2 linked regions of the Ovis aries genome follow. The protein of the gene in region 1 purifies or fractionates together with the protein of each later gene. This does not show direct contact. Links are inferred from orthologs where the notes say so. Each region holds a gene or a part of one and is shown in the gene's direction. Other genes may lie near its edges. The genes, in order: ARHGAP17 and CAPZB.

Region 1 (3,808 bases):
CACCGCATACGCTTGGCTGCATCATAGCCATGATCACCACTGTATATGTGATCCGGGATCTTAGTGTGACTCCCGCAGGCAAGAGTACGGAGTGGGAAAATGCAGGCCTGTCCCCAGACAACTGAAAACCAGCATTCTGAGACATCACTGGTCACTGACTTACATCATACTTGTCAGCACAGACTAAGGAGTGACAGCCGAGTTAGGGTAACTTTTCTTCCTGGGTGATCACTGCCACACTCCTCAGCCAGAGCCTGGTGGATCTTATTTTTGCCTTTGTACTTAAATGTCTTATCCTTTCAATATAATTGAATTGCCCTGACTCAACCTGCAGAAATTGGAGGCTGCCCTGGGGAGATGGTTTAACTTTGTCAACTTCTTTTGCAGAACGCTTGCTGAGATGGCAGCTGCCACTTCCGTCCACGTGGTTGCGGTCATCGAACCCATCATCCAGCACGCCAACTGGTTCTTCCCTGAAGGTGACTGCTGCTCCGATTTCACTGACACACGGATACACAGCAGTAGTATAAACAATCTTTCTTTGTTGTTTATCTTTGAAGTTTTCATTGTGGTAGAATACACATAACATGAAATTACCGTTTAAAGTGTACAATTCAGAGGGATTAACTGCATTCCCAGTGTTGTGCAACCATCATCATCTATTTCCAAAGCTTCTTCATCATTCCAAACTGAAACTCTCTGCCCACTGAATGATAAGTAGACATTATCTCTGCCCCTCAGTCCCTGGTAACTGTTAATACTATCCTACTTTCTGTCTCTGGGAGCTGGTGATGGACAGGGAAGCCTGGCGTGCTACCGTCCTTGGGGTCACAAAGAGTCAGACATAGCTGAGCAGCTGAACTTTCTGTCTCTGTGAATTTGCCTGTTCTGTGCATGTCCTATAAGTAGAATCATAGAGTGTTTAACCCTTTGTGTCTGGTCTATTTCATTTAGCATAACAGTTTCAAGGGTCATTCATCCATGTTGTAGCATGTGTCAGAATTTCATTCCGTTTAAAAAATCTGAATAATATTCCTTCTATGTATAAACAGCATTTTGTTTATCTGTTAGCCGATTGGTGGGCATTTAGGCTGTTTGCACCTTTTTGACTATTGGTAATTGGCTGCTCTAAACATTGGTATACGAGTATCTGTTTAATTCCCAGATTTCAGTTATTTTGGGTACATATCCAGGAGGGGAATTGCTGAGCTATATGAGAATTCTATGTATAAACAATCTTTTTAAGGAAGCAAATGCATAAGTAATCCCATCACATTGCCTTTGCTTTTTCACGCTTCTTTTTAGTCCCTTGGCATTCCTGTTTTCACGCGATGGTAACCGCACTGTTGGGTATTTCACTTTGTTTCACGGCACCCGGAGTCACCCACTTAGCCAGTGTATGTTGAGTACTCGCTAGGTGCACGTGTTTGCTCGTAAGACGTGCTGTCTTCCCTGGAGAAGGAGACCTGATCATCAGAGAAACTCTGACACACAACACATTTGAAGGAAGGTGGAGGGAGGATTTGACAGACTCAGGTGTCGAGCACGAAGGGCCAGGAATGGCCCGGTAGATGAGGTGGCGCTGACATGCAGGGATCCTCAGGGGTGCGGGGCCCCCTTTCGGGTACTGGCTGGGAGTCCGGCCCTCCCGCCCCAGCTTTGACCGGAGCGGCCCAGCTGGCACCCTCCGGAGTGTAAGCTCCCTGAAGCCTGGTCAAGCACATCTCTTCTCCTCTGTCTTTGTTCTTCATGGGCATCTTTCTTCTCATCTGTCTCTTCCCCTGAGTTCCCGCCATCCAGAATCACACCCCGCTCACGTAAGCATGCATAGTGAATATGTGATAGATAGGTGATAATTGGCATTCTGCCCAGGGTTTCCTTTTTTCTCTTTTTTGGAGGGGGTCAGTGTTTATTGAGGTATAATTTGCATAAATTAACAACTTATGCAAGACTGTACAATGTAATGATTTTTAACAAATATATCCAGTGTGTACCTACCACAACGATTATATAGACTATTTCCATCATTCCCGAGAATTCTTTCGTGATCCTTTTCAGTCATTCCCTTCATTCAGCCTGTGGCCATCACTCATCTGCTTTCCATGTCTACACTCTGCCTTTTAAAATTTTTATATAAATAAGAGTATGGAGTGTAGTCTTTTGTATCTGGCTTCTTTCATTTAGCATCGTGCTTTTCAATAAGTTCGTTCGCTCAGTCATGTCTGACTCTTTGCAACCCCACGGACTGCAGCACCCCAGGCTCCCTGATCATGCTTTTGAGAGCCAAGATTTCTTTTGAGAAAACGAGTCTTCAGAACCTGCTGTAGACAGTATGAAGTTGATGCCACTCTTTTTATCTACTTAATATCAAGCTGTACATATCTTAGTTTTTTCTACTTCCAATAAGTAGTCATCCATGCTCAGTATCCTCTTCCATATTCCATGATTTTTTTTTTTTTTTTTTAAGAAAAGAAAAAGCAGGGGAATTGTGTAACTTGGATTCTGAATCATACCCCTCCCCTAGCTCTAGTTTTCTTAACTTACCCCCCGCCTTGGTTTGGTAAACTCTCCTTAAGAAGATGAGATGCCTGGGGCTTTCACTTGTGAAATAGTGAGGGCTCGTGGATGAAAGAAGGAGTCTCCTATCCCAGTGGGGTGTCCCTCCAGCTCCCTTGACCTCTGTGTGCTGTGTCTCATGTACACGTTTCTTTTTCTCCCGGCAGAGGTGGAATTTAATGTGTCAGAAGCGTTTGTACCTCTCACCACCCCGAATTCCAATCACTCATCCCACACTGGAAATGACCCGGTCGACTCGGGGACCCTGGAGAGGAAGCGGCCTGCCAGCATGGCGGTGATGGAGGGGGACCTGGTGAAGAAGGAGAGGTGCGTTCAGAGCTGTGGATCTTCACGGTAGTGGGAGCTGGCACAGGGGAGAGGTGGTGGACCCGTGGTCCCTGGTCCTGCCTCAGTGGACCAGCGACTCAGTGTGCACCCAGGCCTGTTAGAGTCTAGACAGTTTCAGGAGCTCGGCTCTAGTTCATTGCAAACATTAATCTGCCTCCAGAGTAGGTGTGTAGCCGCCAGTTAACATTCATATCTGATGCATCCAAGCTTTGCTTGGTGGTCTGTGATGAGCCCTACACAGTAGCATCGCACACATGTTACGAATTCACCTAAATGTACTTGACTGGAGAAAAAGAAAAAAAAAAGAGTTAAATATTGAGGATGTCTGTCCAGGAGTGAATGTGAGAACAACCCACCTCTCCTGGTGATCTGTGTGAGTTGGTGTCTAAAGACACACGTTTTTAGTATAACTTGGTTCCTCGTTGGATGCCAACCATAGCAGCCTCAGTTTTTGCCAGTTCTGGAAGAAAAAAAAAAACTGTGTCGGACTTCTCCTTGGGTGATCTGTGGGGTTTTCAAAGTTATTAAGACTATTTGTGATTTCTGCCTTCAGATGCCAATCTGTCCAACATGTATGCTGAAATGCTACTGTGTCTGCTAGTAATGCTGAGTTAGGAGTCGCATGCTTTTCTCATGTACATGCAATAATCTTACTAGAAATAGTTTTACATTAAAACTAAACAACAAGCTCTTATTCTAACTGCCCGCTCTTAAAGTGAGGTCTGTTTTTTTGTTTTGCCTTTTTGTTGTTTGTTCGTTTTTAAAACCCATGGCAAAGGAAAAGGCTTTACTTTCCTGTTCTGTCACTCTGGAGGCCACATTTATTATGTGCAGAAGCTTCACTCCTCTGAACCCACATTCACACACGCAGAAGAGCTTCCTGATGACAAACTGTCCGTCACAG
Region 2 (4,061 bases), on another chromosome or scaffold:
GGCAGGGAGGATGGGGTCTGAGTCTCGTCGCTACCCCGCGAGTCCAGGGGCTCGTGGCCTGGCCTGGCCTTGGCCCCCGGCCCTGCAGGCCCCCTGTGGACAGACCCCTCTAGGCCGGGCAGTGGCAGGAAGTGGCCTGGGGTGGCCCTAGTTTGAGTCCGCCTAGGGGAGGCAGTTCAGTCTCTCTCAGACAGCTGTAAGGGTGGTGCCCGCTCTGGACTTGCCTTTCTGATTCCCTGTCTGTGGGGAGCCTGGTCTAGCCCCTGGCTTTACTCCCCTGCTCACCCCACGCAGCATTGCTTTCCTCCGGCTGTTGAGCCCGGGGCCTGGGGAGTCCTCTCTGCTCAGAGCTTCCCGGCCTGGGGCCCCTGCGTCATCAGACACACCAGACACGCCCGTCAGCCTGCACCATCCCGGGCAACGGCTGGAGAACCAAGGGGAGCCGCAGAGAGCCTGCCGGGGCTGGGCGGGCCCCCGAGAGCCACAGCCACCCCCCCCGAGCCCCGCGGCCCTGACGCCCACAGCCCTGAGCGGCTGCGCCCCAGGGACACCCCCTCTCCTGCCCACGGCCCCCGCTTCCTCCGCGCTGGGGCTCCTCCACGGCCCTCACTCTGCGCGCTCTCTGTAGATCTGTTGACGTTATCCCCGACAACCCCAAGTTCCTGCAGCTGCAGAGGGAGCTTTCCCAAGTGCTGACGCAGCGCCAGATCCACATCCAGCCCGATAACTAAGCCGCTCCAGGTACCCTGCCTGAGAGGCCTGAGCGCCGCCCCACTAAACAGGACTCACCAGCCCGCCGAGACCCTGCCAGCCCCTTAAACACCACTAACCCGTGTCCGCTCGGCCAGGAGCCGCCCCGTAACTGCCGACTTCGCCCTGCGTAACAGGGCCCGAATCACGTGTGCAGTGTGTGTGCTTGGCACTCCGGGCAGGGCTGCGTGTGGGGCAGGCCCTGCAGGCCAGGGTCACGGTCACCCACGCCGCTCCCAGGGGCTGCCTGCTTCACCGGAGGCTGGGGCGGCCTCTCTGTCTGCTCTGTGTGCAGCCGGAGCTTTGCCACCTTTCCACCAAGGACCCCAGAAGCTCAAAAAGATCCCTTTTCGGGGGACAGTTGCCTGGGTCAGCTGATCTGAGGTGTACTGCCCTGAGTCTAAGAGAGAGACGCAGAGCTGGGTCTCTTAAGAGCCCTCTGCCGGTTGCCCAGTCGTCTCCGACTCTGCGACCCCGTGGATTGTAGCCTGTCAGGCTCCTCTGTCCATGGAATTCTCCAGGCAAGAATACTGGAGTGGGTGAAGATTCCCTCCTCCGGGGGATCTTCCTGACCCAGGGATGGAGCCCAGCTCTCCCACACTGCAGGCAGATTTTTAATGTCTGAGCCACCAGGGAAGCCCGGAGTGGGGCTGTAATGTCTGAGCCAGGCCTGGTGCCCCCAGACCAGGTGCCCCTGGAGCCGCCGGGACCAGCACCGCCGTCCGCCCCCGATGAGCTGCACCCATCCTCCTAAATGCCTTACGCTTGACAGAGGGGAAAGTCTTGCTTGTGGACGACACCCAAGAACACGACTTGAGCATGTGATGGGTACGGATGTGTAAAAGCCGGCAGCACCCCCAGAGAGGAGGGGGGAAGCCGAGCTGAGCAGGGCTGCAGAGCCCGGGAGTAGGGGCTTCCTCCCAGGCCCGGGAGCTGGACACGGGGCCCCAGCCCAGAAGAGGCTCGGGGGGCTTGCTCGGGCGGCGGCCCTTGTGCAGCCAGGGGGCTCCTCTGCTGTGGCTGCAGCCGCCGGGCCTGGGTGCGCCGGCGCCGGGCCTGGGCTGTCCCCCTGCCTTCAGAAGCGCACCATACAGCGCGGCTCTCCCCAGGCCCTCCGCCTCCGGGGCGGGTCTAGGGTCTTCTGGACCCCTCCCCTTGGCCAGGCCCTGTGGGGGTATGGGACCCCCGCGCCCCCTCCCCTGCTGCCCAGCCTGGCAACTCCTCTCTGAGACACACACACACAGCCTCCTGCCGACACTGGTTCCTGGTGGCTTGGCCATGACCTTCCTGAGCTCCTTTCCCTGAACAAGCGCTCTCCCTTCCCACCTCCAGCTGCTCTGGCCTAACCTGTCCCTTACCGGTCCTCCGTCTGGACATTTCTCCTTGTCGGGGGTGGGGGTGGGGGTGCTGGGTGCAGCCCAGGCCTGGCGTGCCTCTCCCGGAGGAGCCAGCACAGCTCCAGCCAGGAGGCCGTGGGAGCTGCCGCAGAGCAAAGCGAGCTCTCAGAAGCGTGTGTCCCACAGCATCAGCCGAAATGCCAGCATTTCTCATGGGAGGCTTTTTAGCTGTACACAGACTCTCTGAGAGTCTTGTCTCTGCCACCCTCTTTACCTTCTGAGGGCGCTTCCCATGGTGTTCCCAGGACTCAGTAGCCAGCATTCCATATGGATGCTCCTGGTCCTACCTCATTGTACTTAAGCCCCGTTTGGCACTGGCTGAGGGGTTATTGTCTGGTCTCTGCTTCCTGTGCGGCTTCACAGCCAGCGCATGTCAAGCTTGAGGTTCCTGTGGCTCCACCATGGTCCTGCCAGGCAGCCTGCCGCCCTTGCTCTCCACTGCCTTGAGACTGCTATAAAGGCTGTACATAGTTTAACAAGCCCCCAGTTAGCCTGTACATTGGGGAGCCTTGACCAGGGTCCCTAAGGTCATTGCCAGCAGCATTTCTCAGAGCCTCAGTTTCCTCATCTGTAAATTGGGACTAATGCTCGGACTCCTCTGCGATGCTTGTGAGAGTGAAGTGTGCTTGGGAATCACTTACAAACAGCAGATGACACGGTGTCCACAAAGCTTAGCTGTTGCTCACCTTGTCTAACCCCTGCGTCTGCGCACTCACATGAGCGTTTCCCCACAAATCCAGGAGTTGGCGCGGAAGCCACTTGTGGTTCAGGCCCATGTTGTGACGTGTGCCCAGAGTCCAGGTCACAGCCAGCCTGGGGCAGGGCTGGGCTGTGGCCTCCCCTGCAGGGCCGGGTGAGGTGCTGAGGGGCCAGCCTCCGGCTCTGGGCCCCTCCGCACCCTCCGACCTTCCCGCACGGCTTGCAGCTCTGCTCCTAGAGGCGACGTGGGTGGAGGGGCGCCCGGCCCCCCCAACCCCGGACGCACCGCATGGCAGCTCTCTCCCTCTTTTCCTTTCCTCTTCTGCCTGCTCATGATGATTCTTCCCCACCCCCCTCCACCCCACAGGTCTGTGCAGACTTTTGCAGACAAATCAAAACAAGAAGCTCTTAAGAACGACCTGGTGGAGGCTTTGAAGAGAAAGCAGCAGTGTTAAAAGCCTCTGCTCCCCACTGACCGGAGACGCCGTGCGCTGTCAGGCTCCTTTCTTAGACACTCGTTTCCTGCTCCCTGCCTCGTCCCTTCCCTCCCCGACAGGCCACACAACAACTCGCATCGCCACCGCAGCGCCATCTCTCCCGAGAATAAACCCGGTAAACACCCCTGGTCTCGGAGACCTCCTTCCCCCACCACGTTTTGCTATCACAACTCGGTATTCCCATAGAGACCGCGTTTTCTGTCCGTCCCGGCCCCCCCCCCCCCCATTTATCGGCATAAAAATACACTGTCTGTCTGCCTCCCTCCCCTCCCACCTTTTTGTTACATTGGTGTAAAAAATGTAAAACAAAAAAATTTTATGAAATAACTGTGGTGTGTGAAAGATAGAAGAAAAACTGGAAATCTGATTCCACGTGTGTTTGGGAGTTGCTTGGGGCTGGGGGCCGGCGGGGGACAGGGGACAGCTCTGGGAGAAAGGAGAGGTGGCCCTCAGCTCGGCCCGCGGTGGGGGCGGGGCCTGCGGGCCGCCCTGCTCCTCTCGCCAGGTGCTTTTCTGTCAATTTTTATGGAATGCAAAAGGAGTTTTTGTTTTATTTTGTTTTTTTGTAAAGCTTAAAAAAAATCTACATCTTATACTTGAGCTTCCATACTTAAAAAAAAAAAGAGAGAAAAAAAAACAAAAAATAAATAAATAAAAAGAAACTGGGACGCAGTCAGCCTTGTGTTCTTTCTCGCCTGCCCCACTTTCCCAGGACACG

The links.
Region 2: the proteins of ARHGAP17 (region 1) and CAPZB purify together in Homo sapiens (affinity purification with mass spectrometry; 3 studies listed by BioGRID and IntAct, with this or other methods). This does not show direct contact. The link is inferred for Ovis aries from reciprocal best matches to the Homo sapiens genes ARHGAP17 and CAPZB.

The regions. Positions count from the first base shown.
Region 1 is NC_056077.1:23,131,623-23,135,430, reverse strand, and holds part of ARHGAP17 (rho GTPase-activating protein 17), read left to right. Parts: intron 1-387; coding exon 388-479; intron 480-2,723; coding exon 2,724-2,883; intron 2,884-3,808. UniProt on the Homo sapiens protein: Rho GTPase-activating protein involved in the maintenance of tight junction by regulating the activity of CDC42, thereby playing a central role in apical polarity of epithelial cells.
Region 2 is NC_056055.1:247,028,087-247,032,147, forward strand, and holds the end of CAPZB (F-actin-capping protein subunit beta), read left to right. Parts: intron 1-628; coding exon 629-731; 3' UTR 732-741; intron 742-3,213; coding exon of another isoform or gene 3,214-3,301; 3' UTR 3,302-3,326; downstream 3,327-4,061. UniProt on the Homo sapiens protein: F-actin-capping proteins bind in a Ca(2+)-independent manner to the fast growing ends of actin filaments (barbed end) thereby blocking the exchange of subunits at these ends.